Linked DNA regions of Callithrix jacchus. The protein of the gene in region 1 interacts with the protein of each later gene in a pairwise test. Links are inferred from orthologs where the notes say so. Each region holds a gene or a part of one and is shown on either strand. Other genes may lie near its edges.

Region 1 (3,963 bases):
TTGCTTGAGTCCTCATAAGCCATGTGACTCTGAACAGATCAGTCAACCTCTTGGACTGTCAGTTTCTTTACCTGTACAATGGGGATGAGAGTGATAATAACGGGACCTACCTCTCAGGGCTGTGGTGAGCATGGGCAAGGTAATGCATGCAAAGTACTGTGCTTGGCATATTATAGGGCTTGATAAATATAAGAAGAAAAAGACATTTCCAAGCAGCTCCCATATCCCTGGACACCCCACCCCTGCTCTGCCACCCACAATAGGGAAATCATGGGATGTTAGAAACTGTCCTCTTCCCTGCCCCACTCCACTGCAGGGATGGCAGGTGGAGATTGCAGGGGTAGCAACTGCAGAGGGAGCCTGAGGTTTAGACAGGATTGGAGAAGGGGGCGCTGCATGGCTTCGGTCCTTCAGCCCCACAGGCTTCCCTTGGCTCCTTTCTCCCTGAGAAGCCAGGCCACCAAGCCCCTTCCAGGGATCTGCTGCCAGTGCCCCCTCCTGCCCAGTGTCTGTGTCAGGCCCACGCCCTGCACCTCCCTGCCCTGCCCCCGCCCAGCTCTGCACTGCCTGGTTCTGGGCAGCTGGTGTGTGGGAGGCCAAGCTGGGAAGGAAAAGGGGGAAGGGGGTATCTGTGTGCTGGGAGCCCACCTGGCCACGTGCGCACGCCCACACTCCACGTGCACAGTGCCAACTCACATGCCCTGGCACAGGTGACCCCATCCCCAAAAGGGACTGAAGGTTGTTCCAACAATCACAGAAGACAGCTCAGGGTGGGGCACACACTGGCTTCTAACATGTAGTTGGCCCTGGCCTCGAACACACAGACTCTGAAGGGCAGTCCAGGGGGAAGGGTCTCGGGGACTGCTCCCAGCTTGTGGCACCTCATCTTCCTATTTTTTCAGCCCCTCTCACCCCTTGCTCCTGAAGCTTCCTTTCTCTGGCTGTCACCTCTCCTTTCACTCATTTTGTCAATCAGTCTCCCACCTGTCACCCTCCCTCCCCACCAGCCACCCTCTCACTCCATATGACCCAGTACCTCTGTGGTCACTGTAGCCTCACCTGTCTCCCCGCACTCTCTGCCCACCCCCACATCCATGCCCTTCCTGACCTCTGCTCTGCCGGTGTTCCCTTCCTCTGCTTCCATCGCCTGTCTCCTCACCTGACATCCCACTGCCCCATCTCCCCACCATGCCACCCAGGTTCTCTGTGAAAACACTGCTGGAGAAGTACACAGCGGAGCCCATCGATGACTCATCAGAGGAGTTTGTCAATTTTGCAGCCATTTTAGAGCAGATCCTCAGCCACCGCTTCAAAGGTGGGCCCAGGTTCCCTCCCGCCATGGTCCAGCCCTCCCAACTCCCAGCGTTTATCTCCCAGCTGCCCCACTCTGATATACTCCATGGACTCTGAACCCTCTGATTGACCCTGGCCCCCACCTGGGCCATGCAGAGAAGCTCGTGTACAGATCTGGGAAGAGGGAGAGGCCTTTGGCCTATAATCCCCTTCAGTGGGCAAGCTATGTGCTGGGGTGCCCGCTGCATGTATGCATGTGAGTGCACATACCTTTGTCGGGGGAAGCTGCTTATACTTATGCATGGGAGACCCCCGATACACAGACCCTCTCCAAACTCCCTGGTCTTGCTGAGTCCCCTCCCTGCCCTGGCTCAGCCTGTGCCCCAGCAGGTCCAGTGAGCTGGTTCAGCTCAGATGGGCAGCGGGGCTTCTGGGACTATATCCGGCTGGCCTGCAGCAAAGTGCCCAACAACTGTGTGAGCAGCATCGAGAACATGGAGAACATCAGCACAGCCCGGGCCAAGGTGAGGGGCCTGGAGCAGGCAGCTGCTCTCTGCTCTGGACACAGGGGGCCTGCCTGATTCTTGGTCCTCACCCCCTGTCCACAGCCCAGGGTAGAAGGGCCACACCTGATGCTGGATACATGAGTCCCTCTGGGGCAGCAAGTAAAGGTGAACATACTTTCCAGGGCCGGGCATGGATCCGGGTGGCACTGATGGAGAAACGCATGTCAGAATACATCACCACGGCTCTGCGGGACACCCGTACCACCAGGTCAGACTTCCCAGGCAGCTCGGACCACAGGTCTCAGGGTGCATCTGCATTGCCCAAACACAGCTGATCCTTAAGTTCTTGCAGCATCCTTCAGTTCCTGGACTGCAAGTCCCAGCAGCAGCCTGTACAGCTGATTTCCCCCTTCCAGGCTGGCCTGCAGTCCCAGGGCAAACTACTCACCACCACCATCACTTGCAAGTCAAATCTGATGCCCATTATCCACCATCCTTGCCCAGCACACTCCACCCTGGCATGCCTCTGGATTAGCCTCAGCCATGAGCCATCACATGTGCTGGCTTGCTCCATGACCTACAACACAACCCTTCTGGCTCTCCAAACAATGGCAGCAGTTCCGTACTTGCCATCCACAGACACGGAGTCCCTGCGCAGGGAGTTCAACTCCTGCACTGCGGGTTCGAAGGGAGGTTGGCTGCCTGAGGCAGGGGGTTACAAGGTGAAATGTGCCTGTGTGTCCAGGTGCATCTGAAGCTGGGTATGGTGAGGGGCATGTACCTCCCCCTCCCAACTAGCCACACTCAGCCTGATGTTTTTGCTGCATTTGATTCCTCAGTCTACACATTTCAGGGCTCAAGTCAACACGTTTTTTTTAGGCACCTACTATATACCAAACACTAAGATTAAGACTCACTTCCAGATGTGAAGAATCTGGGTAACCCAGTACTTGATGAGGAAAGGGTAGCTCAGGGGGAGGAGTGGACTCAGGGAACACCCATTCTAGGTGATGGGGCCACGGTTCGAGCCCTAGGCTGAGGGGCGAGAGAGGCTCCAGGCCTGCAGGGTGATCAGGAAGGAGAATCAGCTTTCCTTCAAGAGGGGGTGGCAGTAAGCCAACAACAGCAACTTGAGGGGGCTCCAGCGCCTGCTGCACCATCCTCTGCCTTCCCACAGACGGTTCTATGACTCTGGAGCCATCATGCTTCGGGACGAAGCCACCATCCTCACAGGAATGCTGATCGGACTCAGCGCAATCGACTTCAGGTGGGGTCTGCCTGGCTGCGGTGGAGGAGGGGGCTGTTTTCCCCGCAAATCTCCTACCCCAACCCTTCATACCCACCCCCAATCCTGTGGCTCCTCTGCCCCAGCTTCTGTCTAAAGGGGGAAGTCCTGGACGGGAAGACCCCCGTGGTTATCGATTACACACCTTACCTAAAGTTCACACAGAGGTGAGCGGCTCCACGACTGCGGCGGGGCGGGGACCGGCCCCCAGGGACTTCCTGGGGACGTCCTGGTCCCACCGCCCTCGGGGGCCAGCGCGGACGCGCGGGGGGAGGGGAGGGACCGCCCGTGCCCACTGTTCCCTCCCCCAAGCTACGACTACCTGACCGATGAGGAGGAGCGGCACAGCGCCGAGAGCAGTACGAGCGAGGACAACTCGCCCGAGCACCCGTACCTGCCGCTCGTCACCGACGAGGACAGCTGGTACAGCAAGTGGCACAAGATGGAGCAGAAGTTCCGCATCGTCTACGCGCAGAAGGTTCGCGACACCCGCGGGCCTTGGGGGGGGGGTGGGCGGGGCGGGGGAGCCTGGCATCCCAGGGCGGGGCGGGGACGGGGGCCGCGGCCGGGATGTCCTCCCCGCCGCCCGAGCTGAGTCGGCGCTTCGCAGGGCTACTTGGAAGAGCTGGTGCGTCTGCGCGAGTCGCAGCTGAAGGACCTGGAGGCGGAGAACCGGCGGCTGCAACTGCAGCTGGAGGAGGCGGCGGCGCAGAACCAGCGGGAGAAGCGGGAGCTGGAAGGCGTGATCCTGGAGCTGCAGGAGCAGCTGTGAGCGCACGGCCTGCCCTGACCCCTGACCCCTGATCCCGGCCGCCCCGACCACATCACCGGGTGAACCCCATCTTCATCTCTATCGACTCTAACATCACCCGACACGAG
Region 2 (3,834 bases), on another chromosome or scaffold:
AATGTATTGCTATTTAATTTCTCCCACATTCCTGAGAAAGCTAACCCAATCCAGATACATATACTTCAGTTTTACAAAGAAAGACTAAAAGGAATAAAACAAAGCAAGAATTGACCACATTTTACTTTTTTTTCTCTATTTCATGATCCCACCAACTTTATTGCTAGGTAATTTCCTTTTCACAAATTCTGTATTCTAATGTCATATTGTCTTGTTCTAGATCACAGAAAAAGATTTAAAGATTTTAAATTGTTTTACATAATGCAAAAGTTCTTGTTCTTCAACCTGACATATTTTAATAAATGAGTTTTTCATGCCATTCATAAACTTAGATTCTGAAACTAAATAATTCTACAATTAAAAGAAAGAACACTGAAAAACAGGAAAATGAAAAGATAAATCATTTTACATACAAATATATTATATATGATGTTCCCACCAACTCCTCTTTGGCCCTCTATTAATTAGAAGGTTAATATTTTCTTTAATTAAAAGTAAAGAATATACCTCAGACTTCACAAGGAGTGGATGACACTGTTGGACATCACACTGGAACATGCCAGGAGCAGTTGCAACACTGTCTCCCTCATCTCTCAAAGTCTTCTCTTAATAGAGGGAAGACAATGGGGACACTGTCATTGACCTTGGCCGAAGCCTCCACATTCTTAAATAATCTAAGCAAACCAGGTATGTAACTTTCAAATTTATGAACAACAAAAGACTAAAAGTAGTAAGATAAATCAAAAATAAAGCAACTTTTGCTTTTCTTCTCTTTCTGTCTTCAGATTCTTCTATTTTACTGTGGCGTTATTTTAAATTTCTAAAAATAACCTTACTCCAACGCCATGTTATTTTGCTCTGTATCACAAAAACGATTTTCAGATTTTCTATTTGTATTTCAAAAACCAAACTCTTATTACTAAACCAACCTGATAAACAGAAATAAGTGTGTGATGCATGCCATTTCTAAGCTTATATTCTGAATTTAAATAACCTTTCTATTTTAAGAAACATCACAGGAAAATTCAACAAAGAGATATATCACCGAGTTATTCATGCAGCACAGGAACAGCAGAAGGCAGCAGGTCTTTCAACTACAAATTGAACAATTTGCCTTAGATCTCACATGGGGTGGGAAGAGCTGCTGGATGTGTCCCTTGAATGTGCACTAGTCATGGCAGTAGTGCCACGCCTGGCTGCAACTCTGGGCCGGGCTTTGGCTTTCTCTTCTTCATCTCTCAAAGCCTCTTCATAAAGGAGTGGGAAGTTACTGGGGATGGTATCATTCACCTTGGCCAAAAACTCTAGGACTTTCATCTTGCTGGTTTCAGCATAGGCTCTTGGACCCCACAGGAATTGATAGCGTGGGGGATCACTGTTGGGCACCTGCTTGTACTCCAGATATTCTTCCTGCACCAGATCTTGGGAGATAAGCTTTCGGGCATCCCCAAAGATGATATGCCTCTTACCATCATAGATCCCCAAAACATTCAGGAATTCCCAGATTTCCTCTTCACTGGCACAGTTGCCACTTAAGAAGATCACACTCAGTAGAGGCATCAGAAGCCCATTCCTTGGATATTTCCAGGAACTGCTCTCGTTTCCATCGTTGGTGGGATTCAGCAAGCTGACAATGGTGTAGGAGTGACTGGTCGGGTTGACTTCCTTCAAGGAAAGGCCAAAGACCAGCTCCATGCGCTGAGAGGCTCTGCTGAAGATCTCAGGGAAGTGCTCCTTGTACTTTTTGCTGATGATCTTCAGCATTTCTGCCTTTGTAGTGGGCTCTTTCATTTTATACTTGTACAGCAGGAACTGCACCAACATCTTCGTCTTCCTGGTTATAGGATCTTTGATTGAGCTCTCAGTGGATGTTGAGGCCTGGAAGGAACTTGCCTTTTCCTCACCTTGGCTCTTGTCACTTTCATCAGATCCAGTGCATGACATAGCTGCAGCACCAGTGGTGGGTAGTGCTCTCTGAGGCCTCTGCAGAATGCCAGCAGCAGGGGAGCTGGAGGGAATATCCCCCAAAACAGATGAGGAAGAGGAATGAGACTCTTCTTTCTCTGCTGCAGTGGCCTGAGCAACCTTGGTATCCTGGGTCTGACCACGGGTCCGCTGGCGTTTCTCACGGGCACGGAGCTTACTCTTCTGACCTCGAGGCATGATAGCTGTGATTAGGCACAACAGGTAGGAGAGTAGCCAGAAGGGCAGGTGATATGGTGCCTGGAGAAGAGAGATTGAGATCCTGAGAACACCTTTAGTAGGCAGATACTACCTTGGCTTTTCAGAAACCGTCTCTGCAGGATTCCTTGAGAACACTGCTCTAAGTATTGACTGGGCTATTGTTCTTCGTCATTCTGTCCCCTGAGAACTCAGCTGAGGAAGTTACAATGTGCCTTAGGCTGCAGCTTGCCAACCCTGCTGGGGGCTGACTGGGTTCTCTCTGTGTTCTGGCTTGGAAAGGATCCACTCTGATTACTTTTAGAATTATCCTGTCAGCTCTTGGCAGGGCCTCAGCCTCCTTCTATTGGTGTTGTGAAGTAGAATCTTTAACTTTCTATGGGACCCAGATGAGGGAAATGTAGGGGCACCTCAACCCACCACCCCTGCTTCGAAGCATTTAGTGCTCTCTGTCCTGGGATCCTCAGGTCCCAAGTTTGCACTCAGTTTCCTCATCTGGACTCCATGCAGGGTTGTGGACTGTCTCTTCTGATGACTAATAACTGCGACTTCAGACCAAGAATTTCACCTTTTCTAGTTCTGACATAAAATGTGATGGGCATCTATGAAAAAAAAATTGATAATCTGGGCTTCACTAAATTATAACTTCTGCTCTGGTAAAGATACCACAAAGAATAAGACAACTCCCAGATTGGGAAAAATTTATTTTCAAAAGACATATCTGATAAAAGATTGTTAACCAAAACATACAAAAAATTCTTAAAACTGAACAATAAGAATGGACCAACCCTATTAAAAATGGGCAAAAGATATAAATGAGCATCTCAACAATAATATATACAGAAAGTAAATACGTACATGAAGTGATGCACAACATCACATGTCATTAGGGACTTGCAAATTAAAGTAATGTGAAACCACTCCATACCTATAAGAATGGTCAAAATCAAAAACTCTGATAACCCCAACTACCGACGAGGATGTGGAGCAATAGGAGCACACTGTCATTGCTGGTGGACATGCGAAATGGTACAGCCACTTTGGAAGACAGTTTATAAATTTCTTACAAAACTATGTGTAGTCTTATCATATGATCTAGTAACTGCACTTCTTGTTATTTAGCCAAATGAGTTGAAAAGAATGTTCACAAAATAACCTGCACACAAACATTTATAGTAGCTTTATTTATAATTGCCTAAACTGGAAAGCAGCCAAGATGTCCTTCAGAAGGAGAGTGGGTAAATTAAGAGTATAAAATATTATTCAGTATTAAAAGGGAAAGAACTATCAAGCCACAAAGAGACATGGAGGAAACCTAACTACATATTACAAAGTGAAAGAAGCCAATGTGAAAAGGCAACACAATGCATAATTCCATCTATAGACATTCTGGAAAAGGCAAAAGTGTAGAAACAGTACAAAGTTGAGTGGTTTCCAAGGGTTGGGAAGAGTGAGAGATAAATACATGAGGCACAGAGAACTTTTAAGGCAGTAAAGCAATTCTGTCTTAAATTGATAAGGTGATAATGATGTGTCCCTGTATGCTCAATTGTAACAAGTGTATTACCCTGGGTTGGGAGGTTGATATGAGGGAGGCTGTGCCTGGGAGGACAGGATGCCTGTGGAACTCTCTGTGCTTTCTGCTCAGTTTTG
Region 3 (4,724 bases), on another chromosome or scaffold:
TCCCCTCAAACAAACCAAAAAAATGTTAAGCATCAATAATTTCATGAAAATATTAAGTGGCTCTTGTATGCAATGTATTGTAGTAACGGCTGATATAAAAATGAATTGGTGGACTCTGGGCACCCGGGGGAGGAGCTGGCACAGAGTAGTCCCACCCGGGGCACCCTGGCAGGGCCTACCCGAAAAAAAAAAAAAAAAAAAAATTGGCATGGTCCCTGAATTCACTGAATTTATAAGTTTTAGGAAAGTATTAGCTATAAAAAGAAAACATCCTATGCTTAACTAAACAAGAGTTCATATGTATACTATTAAGAAATGTTATCCTTAATAAATATTAATACAAGCTGTCATTTTTAATCTAATTCATTCATTCAACAAACATTTTTACTGTTTCAGGTATTTTCCTAGCATGGATATTCCAAGGTTAAAATAATAAAGTTGGTACTCCAAAGCAGCTTAAAGTGGTGTAAAATACGGAAAGTAAGCAAGTAAACATACAAGAAATCAAATAGTGATAAATGTCATGAAGATGAATAGGCATTATATAAGAGCTACTTTTTATTGGATGGTCAAAAAAGGGCTATGAGTGGATACATTTAAAACTGAGATATGAATGGTGAAAGGAAGATGGTCACTAAAAGATGTGGAGAAGAGCATTCTAGGAAAAGGAAGCAGGTGGGCAAATGCCAGATACAAGACAGATAGGGGCTTGGCCTGTTTGAGGACTAGTAAGTAGATGAGAATGGCTGGGGGCTAGAAAGGAGAGACAGAATAGTAGGAGATGAGGTAAGAGGTAGATGAATGTCACCTGGCTGAGTAAAGCCTTTTAAACCATGGTAAAGTGTTTGAAGTATATTTTTATTGCCATGGGGAGCCATTTGAGGCCTATCAGCAAGGGACTTCTGTAGTCTGATTTTTCTTTTAAGACCAGTAGCGTTGTTGTATAAAAAAACTGATTTTACATAGCAAGAATGAAACCAAGGTGGTTAGGAGACTATCACAATCATTCAGAAGAGACAAGTTGTGGCTTAGATTAAGGTAACAGCAATAGAAATGAAAAGCAGATGAAGTGCAATGTAGAATTTGCTGATAGACTGGATATGGGGGGGTGTCAAAAAAAGGAATCAAAGGTACTTCCTATAATTTTAACTTGTGCAAGTAGGTAAATGGTTTCCTTACCTATGATGGGGAAAAGCAAGGTGGGAATGCAGAAGGTGACAGCAGGAATCCAGAGTTCTGTGCGGGCTATGTTAACTTTGAGATGCATATCAACTAGCCATCTAAGCAAGTATGTCAAGCAAGCAGAGTGGGTTTTGAGAAGATTGATCAATTTGGGACTGATTAGCACATAAACAGTGTTTCTAGATACAGGAGGGTACCTCCATGAGAGTGCCACGCAGGGGTTTTAGCTGCAGTATCTGCTTTCATGTTGATGAACAACTCAAGGTAGCTATTTTCTTTTTCAACAGATATTATTAGCTTTTCACATATAAGCCTCTTTGATGCTGAGAGAGACATACAAGCTGAAAGTCACCCAGCTACTAAAAGGTAGAACCTGGAATCAGATCTGGGAGTTCTCTTTCTTCCCATTGCACCATGTTGCTTTATTGAAGAATTAGAATACGTGAATTTCTGGGTGGAGCATTTTTTAACTTCCTGAATGAAAGATTTTTTAAGTCTGTTTAGAAAGAATGCCAGCTCACTCAGAATTCAATCCAAGTATAAAACTTCACTAGTCTTTTCTGTCATTACGTGACTTCTCTGGAATAGATGGCCTGACGGTTATTGCTTTTCTTTTTTTAAACAAACAAAAAAACCCTCTGTGGTTGACAGGAGCTGAGAGGAGAGGAATGGAGAGATGTTGGTCAAAGGGTACAAACTTTTGGTTGTAAGGTGAATATGTTCTGGAGATCAAATGTACATTATAGTGACTATAATAATTTTGTATTGTATACTTTGAAGTTTGCTGAGAGATTAAGTATTCTCAACACATACACACGGGAAACAGGTACGGTGATGGATGTGTTGATTAGCTTGGTTGTGGTAATCATTTCACAATATATATTTACATCTAATCATTACTTCCTATACCTTAAATATACACAATTTCTGTCCATTATACCTCAATAAAGCTGGGAATAAAACCCCTCCACTGTTTTGACTTGTGGGATAGGATTATTTCTACTTCTCAACCTTTACTGCCCCTTCTTCACTGACCCATAACTATGGCGGCATTGCAGTGATTTTTAGTCTTTCCTCAGCTTACATATTCCTCCTCTACAATCTCAGGTTCTCATTGCTCCAAATACTAAATATATGCTTATCATCTTCAAATATTTTGCTTACTGTCCAGACATTTCTCCTTAGCTCTAGGAGACGACGTCCAAAGGTCCCTAAAAGCAATTAGTCTGGTGGGAAAGGAGGCTCCCCCATCCACCCACCAGGAGAAAAGAGGAGCGAAGTTCAGGAACTGTAAAGGTCTTATTCGTACATTCATTTCTTGTAAGTACTTACATACTCGCTACAGTTTCAAACCTAGTGTGGCATGCAGACATGGATGAAGCAATGACAGGCACGACAAGCGTAAACGAAGGGTACAGGCTAGCCCAAGGGTATTCAAGGGAACTTCAAAGCGCAAAGAATCCCACTTAGTCCCTCGAAGAGATTTAATAAAAACTTTAGAGTATCCGTTTAGTCGATTAAAAAGTGAACGGAAAGCAAATCCCATTAAAGAAGGAGGAAAGTTGGCGATTAGTAAAGGATTCGTGCAAAAGACTGCACCACGGCCAGCCCTGAAGAGAATAAATTGTTGATTGGGGAGTGTGAAGAGAATGAACACGCCTAGGCAGAAAAAAATGAAAAGCTAGGATTGGCGGACACTAAAAACCCAGCATTTGTTAAAAAAAATCCACGGCAAAACAAATACAAAAACACACACCTCACCCAGAGTCAGCACCTCCGCCCCGCCAGCACCCAAAGAAGCCTCAGATTCCGGGACCGCGGCGCACCACCCAGCTCGCTCCGCCCCCTTCCCCGAAAGCCCCTCCGCAGAGCTGCGTGCACGTGCGTAGCGAATACCGCCCCTCTGCTCTCTTGGCCAATGAGAACCAGTTACGTAAATCGCCCCTGCCCGGTCGCGAGTCACGTGACTGCGGCTCCCCGCCCTCTCACCCCGCTGCCTCTAGGTTCTTGGGAAGATGGCGAAGGTCTCAGAGCTTTACGATGTCACTTGGGAAGGTAACTTCGGATGGGGGCGGGTGCGGAAGTTACCAGCGCTTTTAAGTGCTAGGAAGCCGTTTGGGACTACCCGCTGCCTTCGGGGAGCTGGGGTTTCTGGTCTTTTTTTGATACCACATCTCTCACTGGACGGGCCAAGCTGAGGTGGAGGCTGAGGCTGACCCCTTCCTTGGCCTGAGCGCGTACTCTATGGCGTTTCCCACAGTGTCGTCTCATCGGTTCACCTGCCCTCCTCTGCGCCAGTCCAGCGGCCAGGGCCGCTTCCATTTATGAGGCGGAAGGGACTTGGGGCTAGGGTTGTCACACACTAACTGTGGTTGCTGGGCGGTGCGGAGGAAGCGGAATACGTGGTTACTGAAGCTTCTTTGGCGTCGAGAAACACAGGGTCTGTAAGGCCTTTTACTAAGTGCTATGTAAGGATTACAGCTCTGTGCAGAAAAGCTGTTGTAGAAGATGCTTTAACAACTGTGATTCTCATATGCCACTCTACATTTAGTTTTCTCCTTAAACCCGGTTTTCCAGTTTCTTTTCCTTTCAGGCTAGTCTCTGTCCCACTCCTTTTCAAAACACATTTGCACACACAGCACAACTTCCTTCGTACTCCCTACTAGCAATTTTTTTTTTTTCTGAAGGGAAAAATAATTTATTAATTCTGGGCCATGTACGTGCTCATGTGTGATGGACATTTTTACCTATTAGTCGATCTAGAGTGGGATATGTTCTTTAAATCTGGAAACAGCCAAACCTTGGATCAATTCTGTGTGCTTAAGAAACTTGAGTTTCGTTAAGGCATGGAATCTGTGTGATTGGAATTCATATTCCCAGCATTTAGCATAATACAGGAGACTTCCATAGCTAATTTGTTCAGCAAATGCTTTTGTGGGATGCTTTAATAATGACCTGAAAATATGTGTACTGAAAGTTATTTTTTCGGTTTTATCGTGAATAAATTTATCAGGTATTATAAAGTTGTAAACTCTTAAGAAATAAAGCAAAATTCCTTTGTACTTGAACTGGGTTAAATTATTTATTGGCTTTGTGGCCTCTAGCATATTATGAACCTCAGTATTTCTACCTGAATTGAGGGATTCCATTGTATTAAACAACAGTGTTAATTTCTTAGTGCAAAATCTTGGATCTATCAACACACAGTCCCTACTTTCATGGAATTCACAATCTATGGAGAAAAGCTATAAACACATAGTTTTAAAAGACTTGTGTCAGCGTATATTCCGTAAGCTGGATGATGGATAAATGGCTATTTTCAGCGTATATTCCGTAAGCTGGATGATGGATAAATGGCTGTTACTTTTAATGCTTTTAAAAAATGTTTTAAGTACATAATTTTTAGAAAGTACAATCATGAAGGTATGTTTAGTATAGCTTTCCTAGATGTTAGTAGCATATATAAAATCTTGAGGGACTAGTAGTTATGTACTACCAACAGACAAGGTGATTTAACTGAGTAACTTGGACCTTAAACTTAC
Region 4 (4,422 bases), on another chromosome or scaffold:
CCATGGATTTCTCAATGTGCTTTATTTTTGATGAAATGCAGTGGGCTCACAAGGCTGACTTTGGAAACATGAGGTCCGTGGGTTGTGGAATAAGAAAGGGCGTCTTGGTTGCAGAGGAAGGGAGGGAAGCCCACAACTGCCTTGGGGAGCTTCCTGAAGGGCAGGTCTGATCATGCCTCTCTGGGCTACGGTCTCCTCACAGTGGCTGCTCCTTCTTGGAACTGAAGTGGTCCCCATGGGCTCTCTCTCCCAGCTCAGCATTAGTCAGGACTTCTGGCTTGGCAGCCCCAGCGGCTGCCTCTTGTGTCCCTTGCAATGCCTCTTTTCCACCTGACGTGGTCACCGTCCAAACCCCCTCCAGCATCGCCCTGTTCCAGGGGGCCTTTTGTAACCACCTCCGCCGTCCACTGGCTAAAGATAAGGTTGAGCAACTGCAGTACTTAGGACCTTGGTCCTGCCCCTGTGGCTGCCTGGAGGTGACTCCCCTGCTAGACAGAGAGGCCTGGGAAGGCTAACATGGACCAGGAGTGGTGCTGAGCCTGTCTCATGCATCTGCTCAGCAAATCTGCACAGTAAGTCCATAAAAGCCTCTTTTGGCCAGGCGCAGTGGCTCACATCTATAATCCCATCACTTTGGGAGGCCAACGTGGATAGATCACCTGAGGTCAGGAGTTCGAGACCAGCTTGGCCAACATGGAGAAACCCTCTCTCTACTAAAAATACAAAAAATTAGCTGAGTGTGGTGACGGTGCCTGTAATCCCAGCTACTTGGGGGGCTGAGGCAGGAGAATCACTTAAACCTGAGAGGCGAAGGTTGCAGTGAGCTGAGATTGCACCATTGCGCTCCCTGGGCGACAAGACCGAAACTCCGTCCAAAAAAAAAAGCCTCTTTTGACCAGTGAGAAAAGCGAGGCTCAGAGAGAAGAGGCTTGTCCCAGCTGAGCAGCAGAGACGGGTTTTCAGCTCAGCCCTAACACCAACATCCATGGTGCCAATGGATACCCTATGCCTGGCACAGGACGGGGTGCATGCTAGGTGCTCATGAAATGTTTGCTGAAGGCATAAGCAAGCCAAGACAGGCAGCCTGCTGGCACGGCTGGAGAGGCAGTGGCCAGGGCAGAAGCAAGACTCATGCCACCAGGGCTCAGGGAACACCACACCCACCCAGCCTCTGGCGTGCCTCTAAGAAGGCGGGAGAAGGAAGGCCAGCACTGGGTCTCACTAGGTGTTGACTATGGGTGCTTCCAGGGCAGGCACCTACTCAAGGGACTTCAGGAAAGTGCTGGGGTGGTGTGGCAGCCACTTCACCTCTTCACTCCCAGCGGCTTCAGAGCTCACTCTTGCCCACCTCTCACCTAGGACCTGACACCCACGTTTGTTTCTCTCACTGATCAATGTTGGGCTAACATTGTTGGACTGGTTCTTGTTGCTTCCACACACAATAGGCCAAGCAGCCACTTGCCGTGCACCTGGGATGGACTGGGGAGAAGGCAGAGGCCCATTTCAAAAATGCGGGGACAATCCTGCCTTTAAATTTTCTTAGATCCTCTGGGGAAGATGCCCAGGTTCTAGTTTATGTCCAGCTTGCTAGTGTCTCAGGTCCATTTGTCACCTCTGCTCAGGGAAACCCTCTCTCATTCTCTAGCTGAGACTGACTGTCCCTATTACACACTCACCCTGCCCCACCACTGCAATTGACATTTATTTGTGTTTTTGGAGATCGGTAACCATCTCCCCATCAGTCTGTGAATGCCATAAGAATATGGATTGTTGAGCCCTAGCACAGTGACTCATCCCTGTAATCCCAGCACCTTGGAAGGCCGAGACAGATAAATCGCTTGAGGTCAAGAGTTCGAGACCAACCAGCCTCGTCAACATGATGACACCCCATCTCTACTAAAAATATAAAATTTAGCTGGGTGTGGTGGTGGACACCTGTAATCCCAGCTACTCTGAAGGGTGAGGCAGGAGAATTGCTTGAACCCAGAAGGTGGAGGTTGCAGTGAGTGGAGACTGCACCACTGCACTCCAGACTGGACAACTGACACTATCTCAAAAAAAAAAAGAAAAGAAAGAGGGGGGACTGTTTTTTGCTAAACACAAATCAACCCCAGGTAGTACCCTGCCCAGCATTAGTAGTGCTCCCTAGATATCAGCTGAATGAACAAATGATTCTGGATCGGACTCCTAGACTTGCTACTTCTCTGTGACCAGTGTGACCTTGGTCAGGCTGCTTCACCTCTCCGTGCCTCAGTTTCTCCCTCTATAAAATGACACTTGTGATCACCACCCACCTCACCTAACCCTTTTAAGTCAGTATCACAATGAACGTGGAGAAATTTCTACTGAGAGAAAGTGCACGGTAAACAGAAGCTGCAACGCCCTGAGAAGGCGGGACTGGCTTGAGGGAACCCAGTCCCCGCCACGCCTCGCCACCCCTGGCCAAGGGTCGTGCATCCCCTGGACGCCCTGCCTGGCTCCCGGGCCGGCTGCGGCCCCACTTCCGGGTCCTCCACCGAGGCCAGAGCCCCTGGTCCCTGCGCCTGATAGTAGGGGTCGCGGCAGTCGGTTACCTGGCAATGCGGTGGCGGTAGCCCACCGCGTTACCTAGCAACAGAGCGGGGCAGAGGCACTGCAGACCCCCGCCCAATTACCCAGAAAGAAACAGGGTGTGAATCTCCCGCCCTCCTAGCGTCACACCAGGGTGGCTCACAGGCCGGTTACCTAGCAACAGGGTGGATCCCCGCGGGGAGGAGGACCCCGCCGGTTGCCGGGCAACGGGGAGGGTGGGGAGCCCTCAGTACCTTGCCCTTCAGGTCCAGCACGTAGACGGCGCTGGCGGACATGGTGGCTGCAGGAAGCCTCCGCAGCGGCCAAGGGCGGCGGCAGCGACTACCGGGCGTTGAGCGAGGCCGGGCGCGGCCCGCGACAGCTCGCCTCCACTTCCGGTTCGGAGAGCCGCGCGGGGACCGTTATGTCCGGTCCGGGAGTTGTCAGGAATGCGCAGGCGCAAGACGGAGCGTGCGCAGGCGCGGGACGTCAAATGTGACCATGTTTCTTGCTCTTGTCTGAAGAATCCCGGAAGTAAGGCCCTTGGAGGGCGGGGCCAAGTAAATCAGGGTACCTGGTGGCCGCTGCCAGCTGAACAATGGATCCAGAGCAGCTGGAAGCCGCCTCCCGTGGGCCGAGTTAGGCGAGAGAGCCTGGTGATGGAACCGATCTTGGGCCCAGCCCTATAGAGCTCACAGTCTGGTGGGGAAGCCTATGAAACAACTGTACAATCACCAATTATGATAAGCTCAAAAGGGAGGGGTAAGGCCGTGGTTACTTGGAAAGAGGTCAAACTAACTTTCTGAATGGGAGTCAAACCTTATCAGCGGTCACCACCTGTCAGTGTCAACATTTATCAATGAATGGGCGTCCCTGTTTATTGCCTGGAATGTTGTAAAAACCAGCCTCATTGAACCTTGACCCAAACAAGTACCTTGTTTCATTTCTGCAAAGTTAGTAGTCGGTAAAGCAACTGGTGGCTCCTCATGAATCCACTGAATCATATCTAATTTGCTTTTATGAATGATGGGGCTTTGGAGAAATGTCTGCATTCTGTTCCAATTAGCCATCATAGTACCCTGGGGATCCCAACCCTACAATATCGGAGTGATTGACCCAGGAATGCCTGCCTCTTTCATATCTTTTATATTCGCTCCTATCTCCGTTTTGGAGTTTGGAAAGATGATTTTTTGCAACTCGGTAATTATATAGACTTTGCTTAGGATAGAAATGTGAATCCCAGCACTTTGGGAGGCTGAGGCACACGGATCACCTGAGGTCGGGAGTTCAAGACCAGCCTGGCCAACATACTGAAACCCTGTCTCTAATAAAAATACAAAATTAGCTGGGCGTGGTGGCGCATGCCTGTAATCCCAGCTACTTGGGAGGCCGAGGCAGAAGAATCGCTTGAACCCAGGAGGCAGAGGTCAGGGTGAGCCAAGATTGCACCATTGCACTCTAGCCTGGCCAACAAGAGCGAAACTCTATCTCAAAAAAGAAAAAAAAAATGAAAAAGAAAAAAGAAATGTAACCGAAACTCTAGAAAAGCAAAGTAGAATGTTTGAAGACTACTAAGTGACTCCTGGGCTGGAAGGGTTCTTGCACAAGGCACAGAACAAGTGGCCAAGAGGCTTTTTTGTTTGTTTTTGAGACGGAGTCTCTCTCTGCCACCCAGGCTGGAGTGCAAAGGTGCGGTCTCAGCTCACTGCAGCCTCTGCCTCCTGGGTTCAAGCAATTCTCCAGCCTCAGCCTCTCGAGTAGCTGGGATTATAGGCATGTGCCACCACGCCAGGCTAATTTTTGTATTTTTAGTAGAGACAGGGTTTCACCACATTGGCCAGGCTGGTCTCAAACTCCTAACCTCAGGTGATC
Region 5 (4,618 bases), on another chromosome or scaffold:
AACATAATCTTGATCCAGTAGTAGAGGCACAGGCTTCCTACAAAAGAGAGAGCACAGGGTCGGCATCATGGTCAAGCAGAACAAGGCTTCCGACATGCCATCATTACCTCCAACTGTGAGCACCTAATGAAAACCTAACACACACATGGTTGCAATGTCCACGTCCCCTAACAAGACTGCACAACATTCTTCACAGCCCAGTGCCAACCTACTTATCCCATCCCAAGGATCCTCCCCATTGTTCCTTACATATCAACAGCTTCTGGTGCGCAAGCACAGACTGAACGCAGTAACAGTTTTAGGATCTCATGGCACCACTGCTAAAAGCACTTTGTGTGGCTCAAGATATAAGGATACATACTCATAGTTAAATAACCAGTAAACCAATAAAAGACATTATTTAAATACTGATGGGCCAGGGCGGTGGCTCACTCCTGTAATCCCAGCACTTTGGGAGGCCGAGCCAGGCGGACTGCCTGAACTCAGAAGTTCGAGACCAGTCTGTCCAACATGGTGAAATCCTGTCTTTACTAAAAAAAAAATACAAAAATTAGCCAGGCGTGGTGGCAGGTGCTTGTAATGCCACCTGCTTCGGAGGCTGAGGCAGGAGAATCACTTGAAGGGAGTCGGGGGTGGGTGGCAGAGGTTTCAGAGCACCAAGGTTGCATCACTGCACTCCAGCCTGGGTGACAGAGTGAGACTCTGTCTCAAAAACAAAAACACAGATGGCCAGGCAAGGTGGCATGAGCCTGTAGTCCCAACTATTTGGGAGGCTGCGGCAGGAGAATTGCTTGAACCCGGGAGGCAGAGGCTGCAGTGAGCCAAGATCGCATCACTGCACTCCAGCTTGGGCAACATAGCAAGACTCGATCTCAAAAATTAAATATGAGGCCATGTTTTTTCTCTTTTGAGACGAAGTTTTGCTCTTCTCTGACAGGATGGAGTGCAATGGCACGATCTCGGCTCACTGCAACCTCCCCCTTGGGTTCAACCAATTCTCCTGCCTCAGCCTCCCGAGTAGCTGAGATGACAGGCACCATGCCCAGCTAATTTTTTTTGTATTTTTGGTAGACACAGTTTCACCATGTTGGCAGGCTGGTCTTGAACTCCTGACCTCAGGTGATGCACCTGCCTTGGCCTCCCAAAGTGCTTGGATTACAGATGTGAGCCACTGCCCGGCCAGAGGTCGTGTTTTCTAAAGAACTTCCATTAACTTCAGGAGCATAAACACTGCTAAGTTTGGAGCCAGTGTTTCTCAACTGGAGCAATTTTGCTATTCTAGGGCCATGAAGCAACATCAAGAGACTTTTGGGTTTTTTTTTTGAGACAAGAGTCTCACTCCATCATCCAAGCTAGAATGCAGTGGTAACACTGCAGCCTCAATCACCTGGCCTCAAGCAAACCTCCTGCATCAGCCTCCCAAGTGCTGGGATTACAGGTATGAACCACCACACCTGGTATGAGAGAATTTCTGGGTATCACAACTAAGGTGGAGTACTCCTGGCATCCAGTGAGTAGAGGCCAGTGATGCTGCTGAATCCTGCAACAGACAGAACAACCCACCACAAATAAAGATTACCCAGCCTGTAATCCCAGTGCCTTGGGAGGCTAAGGCCAGCAGATCCTTGAAGCCCAGGAATTTGAGACCAGCCTGGACAACGTAGCAAGACCCCATCCCCAGCTACTCAGGAGGCTAAGGCAGGAGAAACTCTTGAGCCTAGGAGGTTTAGGCTGCGGTGAGCCATGATCATGCCACTGTATTCCACCCTGGGCAGCGGGACACCCTGTCTCAGAAGGAAAAATAAAGGATTATCCATCCTAAATGTTAACAGTGCTGAGATTAAGAATTCCTGCTCTAAACTTATGGGAAACAAGCAGCAACAGGGTCGTGCACCGACACAGGTAAAGCAGGAAGCCAGCACCAGGGCCATGGGCCACAGTGCCCCGTCCTCACTGGAGCCCCTGCCCTCACGCTCAACAGCACCTGCTGACGCCTCTAAGCAGGCCCTGTTCGAGGAACTTGAAAATGCACTCAGGAACATCCCCCAGGTTTAAAACCTCAGGCCTGTACTTTGTTATAGAAATGTTAGCATAATTTAACCAGAAAAAAACGCAGACAAAGATCAACTGGACAGCGCTAACTGACTCACTTTTTCTCTCTCAGCTGTCGGAGACGGTGAAACACATTGATGACGTCCCGTATGCGTCTTGGAGCCTCTTCTATCTTGGAAGCCAGGTGAACACAGGCCATTGACACATGCTGAAGCGGAAGCATCGCAATACACCCATGTTTGTCCCCAGCCACCGCATCCTGACAGGCCAAAGGCTTGAGGGCTATTCAGACCAAAATGCACCCAGGGGAAAAGAAGCCGAGCAACAGAACTCTCAGAAACAGAACTCTCCGGCCCAGAGCTCAGACTGGGGAGCGGGCACTCCCTCCCGAGTAACCGGGCAAACAAAAGCCGCTTCCCCTCAACATATTCCGCTGGGAATGAAGCGCGGGAGGGGCCCTTACCTCCATGGAATGCTTCACGAAGGACTTGGTGTAGAAGAACCGCTGGAACAACACTTGCCCGGTAGCCATGGCCACCTAGAGTGGAGGAAAGTTTCTGTATTTTCAAACGCACGGTCCAAAGCCTTCGCAGCCAAAAGTCATAGAGTAACGTGGGACTCCCCATTCAGAAGCAAACACTGAAACGTTCCCCAGGTCCACAAATGTTCTTTGCCTCCCGCCGTCTCGGGGTCCAGCGCAAGAGGGAAGGCCCCGGGTCAGGGGCAGGGGCGGGCTTGGGATTGGCACCAGGGCCGGGGCCGGGGCCTGGATGCGGGCGGCGCGGGACCCACTCTTGCCAACAAAGGGCGGCCGCTGCCCGGGCGGTTACCTGGGCCCGAGGCCCGAGGCTCGCGGCCGCACCCTCACCTGAGGCAGACGGAGCAGGATGCCGGCCGCCTGGATGAGCTCGCAGCCTACCACACGGAGGTCGGTCTCCGTGTCGGTGTCGAGGCCGCTTGACATGGACGGCGTGAAGCGGAGCTTGTCGTCAGGTAGGAGGCAGTTTTCCAAGGTGATGAGCACCCCGGAGTATAGCCGGTCCCCAATCAGCACACCTTGCGACCCGGGGACTGCGCCCCAAGAGCCCGGGACGCCGGCCGCGGCCGCAGGAGCTGCCGACCCCACAGCCCCAGCCGCCGCCGCCATTTTGTGCTGCCGACTCCCCTACGACTTCTTCCCGCAGGGCGGCTCCTCGCGGCGCTCTCCTGCTGCCACCGCCCCACCCCGTCTCATACCATTGGTTCGGCCTGCGGGCAGAGTGACGTAGCCTAGCGGCAATTGGCTACTCCACATACCCGTCAGTAACGCGCCTAACGCCGTCGCCGGAACCTGGCTCAGATCTGAGGGCGGGCTCGTTACCCAGGGTACTCCGCGGTGCCGGCCGACCCGGAAGTACGTCTGCCCCGAGCGGAGACGCGGGTGCCTGGTTGAGAGCGCCTGCCCGGGCGCCCCGAGCGAGGCGGGGCTTCTTCGAAGCCGCCCACGTTCGACCGGAGATCCATGATCGCGGAAGCGTGCGTCTCGGAAGTCCTATGGGTCAAGGGGGTCCATGTCGGCGGGATCTGGGGTGGGACGACCCCACCGCTATCCCCTGGGTGCGGGCTTGGTCAGAAGCTCCACTCGGCCTCGCCCTGAATGAGTCTCGCGTGCCTGATGTTCGCCGGCCGTCGCGGGCATCGTGTCTCCAGTTCTTCCCGACTCCAGGCTTTGGAGATGCCTGTTAACGCCAGACTCCCTCAAAGTCTTGCCTTCAAAACTCAGCCCTTGGGGAGAGATGGGTGGAGGATGACTAGAAACGTGGCCTCGACGTCCCTTCCAGCGTGGGGAGGCCCAAGTACCTCAAGGTGCAGGCCCAAGGAAGGAGTCCGGGGAGCGAGGTGCGGTGCGCTCCGTCTGAAGGAGCTTGGACAGAACCCCAAAAACGGCTGGGAGACAGTGAAGGAGTTCGTGACACCGCTGATCCTCCCCCAGGCGATCTCACGCACTGCCCGCCATGGGTTCACGGGTTTTCACCACCTGCGGCGCTCCTGGGGTAGATCACCGCTGTACAGGAGGAGCAGATGCAGGAGGTATCTGTTGCTGCGGTTACCCAAACCTTCGCCAGGACTAGTACAGGACCCCGGATGAAGATGGTGGGGAAGCCTGCACTGGGCAGGGAAGTGTGGGGCAGGAGGAAGAGTGGGGGTCAGCAGAGGCCCGAGTGTGAGTTCACACCGACCTGCCAGTGACTGCACCGTTTTGTTTTTTTTCAGAAGATTTAGAATTGAATGACTGCTCAGTTTACACGGGCTGAAATCCAGAGGCCACCATTGCCCCTCACCCCGCCCCCAGGTCCAGCTGTCCACTAGCTCTGCCATGACTTGACACTGCAGCTCAAACAGTACCAACCAAGACCCACTCTCCTCACCGTCTGCCATGGGCAACAGGATATGGTTACAGCTTCACCCATGTCCTCTTTCCCCAAGCTGGCAGTCTTGTGTGTTATAGCTACACACTGCAGGAAACCTCACCACACAGCTGGTTTCTTGTTGGTGCTGCATGCCCATTTCCTCAGCTGTGACTGCC
Region 6 (3,963 bases), on another chromosome or scaffold:
TCATTTTCTGCAACAAAATAATACATTCACAGACTCTGAAAGCTCCCAAAATGGAAAACTAGTCTTGAAGTTGAATTTGAACTGTTTAGTAACAGCTTACCTGTCACGAATGGTCATGGTAATCTTCTCGCCAAAGGCCTGTTTGAGCACCTTGTGCGCTTTATCAGAGCTCCACCCTGCACAGTTTTCACCATTGATCTGGAGTACTTGGTCCCCAAATCTCAGACCAACCAATGAGGCTGGAGAATTAGCCTGGACTAGCTGAACAAATATACCCTAGATAATAAGAAAATAAGTTTTGTCATTAACCTCTATTATGGTATGGTTCTAAAATGCTGGAAAATTAGGAAACAACTGTTTATGTTAAAAAAAAAAATCTACCCTGTGACAAAAGAAAGAAAAAACAGAAAAAACTATATGAGTGTAATATATCAAGTTATCACCTCAAAAGAAACCGAAACATTTATCAAGGCAGTAACTCCAAAGAAGAAAGCAGAAAAGTGAGATTTCAATGGCAATTTCTATACCAAATCATAACCCACCTGACCAACCACAACCCCCACCACTTTCAACTTGGAATACATAAGGAAAATAAAGGACAACTTTAATAAATGCAAGCATCTATGAGTCTCATAGAATACCAAATTATCACTACATCATCAGTCATATTTAGGGGACAAGCAAGTCACATGTTAGAAAGTTTGGTGAGTTCTTTTACAGCTTAATAAATGACAGTTTAAGGTCATAATTGTACCTTTTGAGCTGAAGTGTTCCTTTACCCATTTGTTACATTGTATAAAATCAGGTAAGATTAAAGTTTATTTGATAGCCTAAAAAGATGGGCATATTAAATCTACATGCACAGGCTTGTAAAGAACACACTATGAAATAAATATAGAAAACTCTAGTACTGTTAACCAGTAACTACACTTATATGGATAAAGTTACTTATGTAAAATCTCTATCAGAAATTGAACAAAATATAAATAGATAAGTATAAAAGAAGAATAAGACAGGTAGAATATAAGAGCATCTACAAGGCTAGACCCTTCCTACAATCCCAAACGAGGTAAGACATTTCTATCACACGTCTGTTACACTGTAGAGGGATAAGCAAGAATTAGGCAGCGCCCCATAAATGAACCAACGCGCTTGGCCAAGTGAACAAATCCACTCCAAGTGTTACCTACAGTGGGGCCAAGGGGTCTGTGAAAAGTATCTTTTCTCTTTAGGACAGAGGAAAGAACACAAGAGCAATCCTGGCATAAGGGGCAGCAATATACTGTATTCCCTGAAGAGAAAAGCAGAAAGGGCACCAAAGTCAGAGCATCCCAACCAAGCACGCAGATGTATTCTGAATAAGATATAAGTGAACAAGGCCATCAATGGCCTCAGCCCCCTGGGTGGGCAGGTGGGGTTGGGGCTTCCTGCCAAGATCAGGCTTCTCCATTTACAGCAGTGCACTACGCTAGAGATGTATGACTGAAACTGAATCCAGTGAGGTAATGGCTAAAACTATAAATCGGGGTAAAGACTCAGCATGTCCTTAACAATTCTAAATGGTTCCTGAGAGTTTCATATCTTCAGTATGGTAAAGTGAGAGGTAAAGTAATCATAAAGTCAAGTAATAGCTGCCCTAATTAGAAAAAAACTTTTACTCAGAAAATGACATATTAAATTCAAATAACAGTAAAAACCATCTCACAAATACTGATTGGTTTAAAAATGCACACATGTTGACATCAACTCTCATTGGTCAGTTTTTTCTTAACCTTCACATCTGCTCTATTTAATTGCCACAATTCTATACAAACTACATTATAATATATGTAGGCCAGTGAACTGTATTCCAGTTAGAGTACTCAGAAAAGAAAAATGTCTTTTAAAGTAATGTGGTCAGAAGTCCCAACTCTGCCTCTGCAAAAGAGAACATCCCCAATTGAACAAAATTTGTATATTTAAAATATTCTCAACTATAGATACACCATCATAGTTAAAGCATTTCCATTTCAAATTATTTTAACATTAGTCACTTATACAGGTATTAAAAATACTTACATTATCTATTGATTTAAGCCTGAGACCAATTTTTCCATCTTGATCCTTACACAAAATGACTTCACGAATCCCTTGCTTAATTTCTGCTCTACGAATTCCAACATCGTTACCAGTTACAGGAGCCACCATATAGTTCATACTGGAAGGTCTTGCTACCAACTGCTGACAAAACCATATACGATGTGTAAATATTTAGAATCACTCTCCTCGAAAAAAACAATGATAATTAACTGGAACATACTCAATTATGGCTTTCCAAAAAGCAATCCACAAATAATTTCCTTCAGATAAAGTTTTATGTCTATGAAAATGGCACTGGCTCCATTATTAATTCTTCATTAACTTATTCCCACATATATCATCTCTAATAGATTCAATGATTCTCTGTTACCTTTTGAATTCACTGACATTTGTTTCACTGGTACATTGGCTTGTCTTCATCTCAAATGCATTACCTTTGAACTTAAAGGCCACATGCTTGAAACACATTTTCCAGAGGATTCTTTTATATGTCATGATCTCTGACAATCTACTTATCCTTTCAGAATTTCCAAAAAGGGACAACCTTCCTACTCAGTGTTACTGAGAAGGCTAAATGAAAAGTGCGTATGTGTATGGACCTGGCACAAGTAAGACAGTCAACCATTATGTCTTCTCCCCTCTAATGACCATCTATGGATTAACAAATCACAGGCATAAACCAGAATGCCCCAGAATACCTATATTAGGGACCTGTGTCAGGTACCATGCTTCAAGTTTCTAATTTTTTTCAAGTTTTCCTGACCAAAATTGGTTTCTTATTTTAAGTGGAACCTTTCCCCAATCAAAAAGAAAATGGAATAATATCAGGCTATCAAAAAAAGGAAATCTTGACATTTGGGCACATGAATAAACCTAGAGAATATTATGTCAAGTGAAATAAACCAGACACAGAAAGACAAGTATTGTCTAGATCTCACTTATATATGGAATCTGAAAAGAGTCAAACTCACACAAGTAGAGTTACCTTCATTCTTTCCCCTGTCCACGTCAGGGGCTGGGGTGGGCAGGGGAAAGAATAAGGGAAATGTTGGTCAAAGTGTACAAACTTTCAGTTATCAGTACATTCTAGAGATCTAATGTACAGCATGGTAACTATAGTTAATAACACTGTACTGTATACTTGAAATTTGCTGAGAGTACCAAGTGTTCTCACCACACACCAAAAGAAATGGTAACTACGTGAAGTGACAGATATATTAATAACCTTGACTCTGGTAATGATTTCACGGTGTGTGTGTGTATCGATACATCAAGTTGTACCGAAATACACAGTTGAATATAAACAATTTTTATTTGTTAATTATACCTCAATAAAGCTGGGGGTGGGGTGGAGATCCAGATGAAACATCAAGAGAAAAAAAGTATGTGAAATGAAAAATTCACTAGATGTGGAGAGTTAACAGAAATCTCCAGCAACAACTTAAAGTAATTTAAAATTAAAAAGAAGAAAAAGAAAAGGCAATGGTGCACTGAGGAACCCTGGAGATTCAGACACAAAAAATGAAGGTTTAGGTTACCCTTCTAGGTATTAAGTTTTTTTAAAAAAGACCAGTTGAAGTATTGCCCAAGGGCAAAAGAATCTAACCATCCATGTAGTGAAAAAAGGAACTTCTAAATTTTAACTATAGCCTCATGACCAGTTAATAAAATAAGAATCGGAGCAGCTATGACTCTTCTTCTTTGTATCTGTATATTTTCTGTAAATACAGCAATTAACCTTTCTGTTCCTTTATACCTCCTTTTACCTTTATGTAAGAACTGTTGGTGGTGGTTAACTTTACACTTCTGCCTTTAAATTAAAAATATTCTGTTGGAAAAGTGAATACTTAGATGGGTAATTAATATCATATAGGTTTTTTTTTT
Region 7 (4,437 bases), on another chromosome or scaffold:
GGTCAAATATGGTCCACAAACTGAAGGGTGTAAATGAGAAAAACAATGTTATCTTAGGCTGTTTTCTTTTAAATCTATTTCCAAAACAAAATCTCAAAAGGGTTTAGACAAGTGTCTACAACCCATTCAAATGTACTGCAAAAAACATCACTAGGTATGACTTCAGAATTGAAAACCATCTTTCCCAAATACATTTTTGACATGACATGTAATATAAATGGGGGAAAAAAGGAAGAAAAAAATTAAAAGTGCCATCCTACTTTGCCAGATGGATGGTTACTTTCCCAGATCTAAGGCAATATTAATAGCTGAGTTCTCTTGTTCCCTACCCACAATGAGGTAAACTGTTCCATGTCAGATCAGATTCAAAATACCTGTTCATCTTCTAATCAGATGGGAATGGCCATACCCAGGGCTTCCTTGACCTTGATGATTTTCTCCAAACTTAAGAAGTTGGGAGTAATGTCATCCAACTTATCACTGAGACACTTCTGTCTTCAAAATTTGACAAATAGCTCTGGAGAGTATCTTGCACCTACCCCATCCACCTCAGCTATGATACTGTATTAATCACTGAATATGAAACACAGAAACACAAACAATAGTTTTGGATTTGTTTCTTTAAAAATGACATTTGTATTAAAAGTCTTAAAATGAAGAGACAATGATTAAACGCATGAAATTAAAAATTACAATTAGTTAGAATTGGTACATCACAACAGTAAAATTTTGCTCTTTGCTTCTGGAGGAACACCCTATAACAGGTAATAAAAAAATTAAAAATAATATAAAAGGGGAGCTAGATACCTGAAAATTTAAACAAAATGAAGCAAAAAAAAAAAAAAAAAAACAAATTCATTGCAAAAGATGGAAATTACATTTTAAAGGCTGAAAATAATAAAGAAATTCACTAAACAACAGGCCCTATTGTCCTGGCTCCTTCAGAAAGATTACTGAAAGGAAACTGGGAAGTGGTTTGGGGGAATAGCAGATTGTGGGATATGGTGGGAAGTTCACAGGTTGGCACCGGCTGGAACAGCTGAGTTTTGAAGGCACTCTGCAGACACAGGGGTGCTGGGGGCCCTGAATCACATTTACAAAGTCTTTGTACTGTATTTTAAAAAGCTAGTCATTAAAATCGGTTACTGCCAACCAAAAAAACAAAAACAAAAAGGCTAAACTCATACACATACACACACACCACACACACACACCACACACATACCATAGTACACACGAAAATGTGCAGATCTGTAACATTTTTTTCACAGCTGATTAAAAAAAAATACTACCGTTCTCCCCCAGATTCCCCTTTGATACAGTAGGTAAACAAAATAGATTTTTTTTTTCCACAAATATCAGCAGACACTTTCTGGCACCCCACACTGTATTGGCATCAGTGTTAACAGTCCCAGTTCAGATGTGCAATACTTCAGATTGGATACACTGTAACAAGAATCCAACTTTGCATAGACATCCTCAGAATCGCAATCAGTCATGGGGTTGCCCTTCCAAGCTGGCAGAAAAGGAACCCGATCTTAATTTCCAGCTACTCCTGGAAAACAAGGAAAAAACAAAAGTTTCTTCCTCTCCTGCTCCTTCATGTGGTTCTCCCGGACTTCCTTCCATGTATTTAAAACTTGAAACTAGAAAAACGGTTGTTGACCAAAAAAAGAAAAAAGAAAAGAAAAACCCTTTCTACCTTCTCCCCCTCCTTTTCCTCCACACCTCTCCCCGGTTTTTTTCCCCCAGGCTGAAACTTTTGCTTGGTGAGTGTCAGGCTGCCGATACTGCGCCCTAACGGCTACTTAAACGGGGAAATATGCATCAACCAAAATCAGGGAGAAACGTACATGCTGCAAAGAGCCACATTTCCACCAGAGTATCGGCTGGGAAGGACGGGACACCCCCTCAAGCACAGGGTGGAGGCAGGGGCCGCCGGCCGCGGAGGCCAGCAGGGCTCCCAAGAAACCCTGCCCAATGCAAAGTGGTCTCCAATCTCAAAGCAAGAAAGAAATCACATTTAGAGAGTCGGATGCGTTTGGCTTTTGTGCGCAGAGCGCGGCCGGCGCGCGGCAGCCGCCTCAGAGGATCACGCAGGCCGAGCAGCAGCCCTCATCGCCGTTGGGCTGCGCCGCGTAGTTCATCTGCCGCACGATCTCCGCAAACAGCTCGTCTACCGAGGCTTTGTTTTTGGCCGACGTCTCCATGAAGGGGCAGCTCCACTCCTCAGCCAGGGCCTTGCCCTCGCCGTACGAGACCTCGCGCTCGCCCTCCAGGTCCACCTTGTTGCCCACCAGGATCATGGGCACGCGCTCGTACCGCTTCACGCGGATGATCTGGTCCCGCATGGGCTTGATGTCCTGGAAGCTCTGCTGGTTGACGAGACTGTAGACCAGGATGAAGCCCTGGCCGTTCTTGATGTACAGGTCCCGCATAGATGCGAACTGCTCGGTGCCCGCCGTGTCCAGGATCTCCAGCACCGACGGCGACGAGTCCACCTCAATCTCCTTGCGGTAGAAGTCCTCGATGGTCGGGTCGTACTTCTCGATGAAGGAGCCCGTCACGAACTGCACCGTGAGCGCGGACTTGCCCACGCCGCCCGAGCCCAGCACCACCACTTTGTACTCTCTCATGGCTCCGTCAGCGCTCCGGCCCCGACGGGGCTGCGCGCCGGGGAAGGCTGGGCTTGGCTGCTGGACTTCTTTTCCCCTTCCTCAGCTCCACAGGAAAAACCCAGGAGAGAGTAGCCCAGAGAAGAACGCAAGGCAGAAACCACCGAGCGGGGGCCGGGCGCCGGGCCGGCCGGCGGCGGCGTGTCCCTGGGGCGCGGGTCCGGGCCCCGCAGCAGTCCGCGGCGGCAGCAGCAGCAGCCCGGGCAGCGAACCGGGAGGACAATGCCCGCAGCCTGCGCGAGGCGACGGCAGAAGCTCCTCGCTGCAGCAGCCCGGGAGGGCGGTGAGGCGGTGGCGGCTGGCTGCGGAGGTGGCTGCTAATTGCGCGTCGGGCCGGGACGCGCGTGGCATGAGTCCCCACGGAACGTGCGCCCACCACCGCGGCCCATCGCGCTCTCTCCCGCAGCCTCTGCTGGGCGAGGGCTTCCTATTCGCCGCGCGCAACCCGGCCCTCCCCGCCCCGGCGAGCATGCCCAGTGCGTTCCGACCGCGCCTTGCCCGAGCGGCCGCTCCTGGTTTTCCGCGGGGCCGTGGGCGGGGCTCCGGATTTGGGTCCTGTTTTGGGAGCGGCGCGAGTCTAGGAACTGGCTAGGAGATGGGGTGTGTGTGCGAACAAGGGGGCGAGGAAAGTGCATAAGGAGCAAGCAGGCCGCTTTCTTTTACAGCTATGGGAGTGGTGCACAAGGGCGGCGGCTCTGCGAGAAGCATGTGGGCGCCGCGGGCCGCCTCAGGGATGGAGTAGGCTGTGCTTCTGCCAACTCCCGTTATCAAAGGCCCAGGGACGCCATTCACCCAGCCCCGGGCGGGCGTGTCTGGGGGCCGGAAACCCGAAGGCTTGTGGGTGCCGTGGAATGCACGCGCAGCCGGCGGAGCGTCCCTGCCCCACAGATTTTTCTAAACCGTTCGCCACAGAAACGCTACTCTGCCTTCTCTGTGCACTGCAGCCTTGGACAAAGAAAACGGGAGGTACTCCAGGCCTCAAATACTACCCCGACTAGGCAAAGGGTAGCTTGTGGTACCTGCAGCTCTCCGGGAGCAGGGTCCCTCGGGTCCTACCCATCTCCCTGCTCGGCTGCGGTCAAAACCCGGAGACCGGATCACACCCCAATCCAGAAGTCTCGTGGCCCCCACAGTTCAGGGCATGCTCAGTCGCGGAGCGGGTTTTGGGGCTTGGAAGTAGGAAGCTTTTGCACCACACACCCACACTGTAGCTCAAATTACCTCTCCGAGACTCCGCACTCATTGGTCCCGGGGCGCGAGTCTCACACTCCTATGTGTTGCTCATTGGCTGCCGCCAAGGCTCTGTCAGTTTGGGCCGCTTCATTGGCTAAAAAGTAGCCTCCGCTTGCGATTGGTTATTTTTAGAGATTGAGCGGAGAGGCAAAGGCACAGCTGTTCTTTCTCCGCTGCTCCTCCGCCCCCTGCCTCCCACTTCCCCAACCCTGGCGTTTTGAAGTAAAAGTGAAAAAGTAAGAGGCATTTAGGCGGAGAGCTCAGAACTAAATATAGTTCTTTGTTGGTGTTTTCGAGAGAGTCTGACTCCTCACTTTCCAGTCAGGACTGCCCCTTACAGGGAGCACAAAGGGCTAATTACAGGTTTTGGTCCGCAAGGGACCGCAGAGTTGCCAAGTTTTTTTGCTGGAAGTGGGAGGGGCGAGGAGCTGAAATGGGCCACTTGGAATTCGTTTCACCCAGAGGGGTTGGGGAGTGTCCAGGCTTGCCTCAGAGGAAGCGTCTCCGCTGGCGGGCCGGGCAATTGCTA

The links.
Region 2: the proteins of RUNDC3A (region 1) and MAGEB4 interact in binary tests that used the Homo sapiens proteins (3 or more experiments, as listed by UniProt). The two-hybrid records come from large-scale screens. The link is inferred for Callithrix jacchus from reciprocal best matches to the Homo sapiens genes RUNDC3A and MAGEB4.
Region 3: the proteins of RUNDC3A (region 1) and EIF3E interact in binary tests that used the Homo sapiens proteins (3 or more experiments, as listed by UniProt). The two-hybrid records come from large-scale screens. The link is inferred for Callithrix jacchus from reciprocal best matches to the Homo sapiens genes RUNDC3A and EIF3E.
Region 4: the proteins of RUNDC3A (region 1) and AP1M1 interact in binary tests that used the Homo sapiens proteins (3 or more experiments, as listed by UniProt). The two-hybrid records come from large-scale screens. The link is inferred for Callithrix jacchus from reciprocal best matches to the Homo sapiens genes RUNDC3A and AP1M1.
Region 5: the proteins of RUNDC3A (region 1) and CCNL2 interact in binary tests that used the Homo sapiens proteins (3 or more experiments, as listed by UniProt). The two-hybrid records come from large-scale screens. The link is inferred for Callithrix jacchus from reciprocal best matches to the Homo sapiens genes RUNDC3A and CCNL2.
Region 6: the proteins of RUNDC3A (region 1) and SDCBP interact in binary tests that used the Homo sapiens proteins (3 or more experiments, as listed by UniProt). The two-hybrid records come from large-scale screens. The link is inferred for Callithrix jacchus from reciprocal best matches to the Homo sapiens genes RUNDC3A and SDCBP.
Region 7: the proteins of RUNDC3A (region 1) and RAP2B interact in binary tests that used the Homo sapiens proteins (3 or more experiments, as listed by UniProt). The two-hybrid records come from large-scale screens. The link is inferred for Callithrix jacchus from reciprocal best matches to the Homo sapiens genes RUNDC3A and RAP2B.

The regions. Positions count from the first base shown.
Region 1 is NC_133506.1:71,152,837-71,156,799, forward strand, and holds part of RUNDC3A (RUN domain-containing protein 3A), read left to right. Parts: intron 1-902; exon of another isoform or gene 903-1,188; coding exon of another isoform or gene 1,189-1,199; coding exon 1,200-1,315; intron 1,316-1,668; coding exon 1,669-1,817; intron 1,818-1,981; coding exon 1,982-2,067; intron 2,068-2,976; coding exon 2,977-3,066; intron 3,067-3,170; coding exon 3,171-3,251; intron 3,252-3,396; coding exon 3,397-3,562; intron 3,563-3,694; coding exon 3,695-3,852; intron 3,853-3,963. UniProt on the Homo sapiens protein: May act as an effector of RAP2A in neuronal cells.
Region 2 is NC_133524.1:31,134,482-31,138,315, reverse strand, and holds MAGEB4 (melanoma-associated antigen B4), read right to left. Parts: upstream 2,300-3,834; 5' UTR 2,164-2,299; coding exon 1,123-2,163; 3' UTR 570-1,122; downstream 1-569.
Region 3 is NC_133517.1:88,597,671-88,602,394, reverse strand, and holds the start of EIF3E (eukaryotic translation initiation factor 3 subunit E), read right to left. Parts: upstream 3,036-4,724; 5' UTR 2,939-3,035; intron 1-2,938. UniProt on the Homo sapiens protein: Component of the eukaryotic translation initiation factor 3 (eIF-3) complex, which is required for several steps in the initiation of protein synthesis.
Region 4 is NC_133523.1:14,819,172-14,823,593, reverse strand, and holds the start of AP1M1 (AP-1 complex subunit mu-1), read right to left. Parts: upstream 2,948-4,422; 5' UTR 2,847-2,947; coding exon 2,805-2,846; intron 1-2,804. UniProt on the Homo sapiens protein: Subunit of clathrin-associated adaptor protein complex 1 that plays a role in protein sorting in the trans-Golgi network (TGN) and endosomes.
Region 5 is NC_133508.1:39,584,445-39,589,062, forward strand, and holds the start of CCNL2 (cyclin-L2), read right to left. Parts: upstream 3,220-4,618; 5' UTR 3,200-3,219; coding exon 2,921-3,199; intron 2,591-2,920; coding exon 2,516-2,590; intron 2,335-2,515; exon of another isoform or gene 2,276-2,334; coding exon of another isoform or gene 2,261-2,275; coding exon 2,151-2,260; intron 38-2,150; coding exon 1-37. UniProt on the Homo sapiens protein: Involved in pre-mRNA splicing. May induce cell death, possibly by acting on the transcription and RNA processing of apoptosis-related factors.
Region 6 is NC_133517.1:14,818,129-14,822,091, reverse strand, and holds part of SDCBP (syntenin-1), read right to left. Parts: intron 2,221-3,963; coding exon 2,059-2,220; intron 277-2,058; coding exon 101-276; intron 1-100. UniProt on the Homo sapiens protein: Multifunctional adapter protein involved in diverse array of functions including trafficking of transmembrane proteins, neuro and immunomodulation, exosome biogenesis, and tumorigenesis.
Region 7 is NC_133518.1:32,250,214-32,254,650, forward strand, and holds RAP2B (ras-related protein Rap-2b), read right to left. Parts: upstream 3,078-4,437; 5' UTR 2,637-3,077; coding exon 2,085-2,636; 3' UTR 613-2,084; downstream 1-612. UniProt on the Homo sapiens protein: Small GTP-binding protein which cycles between a GDP-bound inactive and a GTP-bound active form. Involved in EGFR and CHRM3 signaling pathways through stimulation of PLCE1.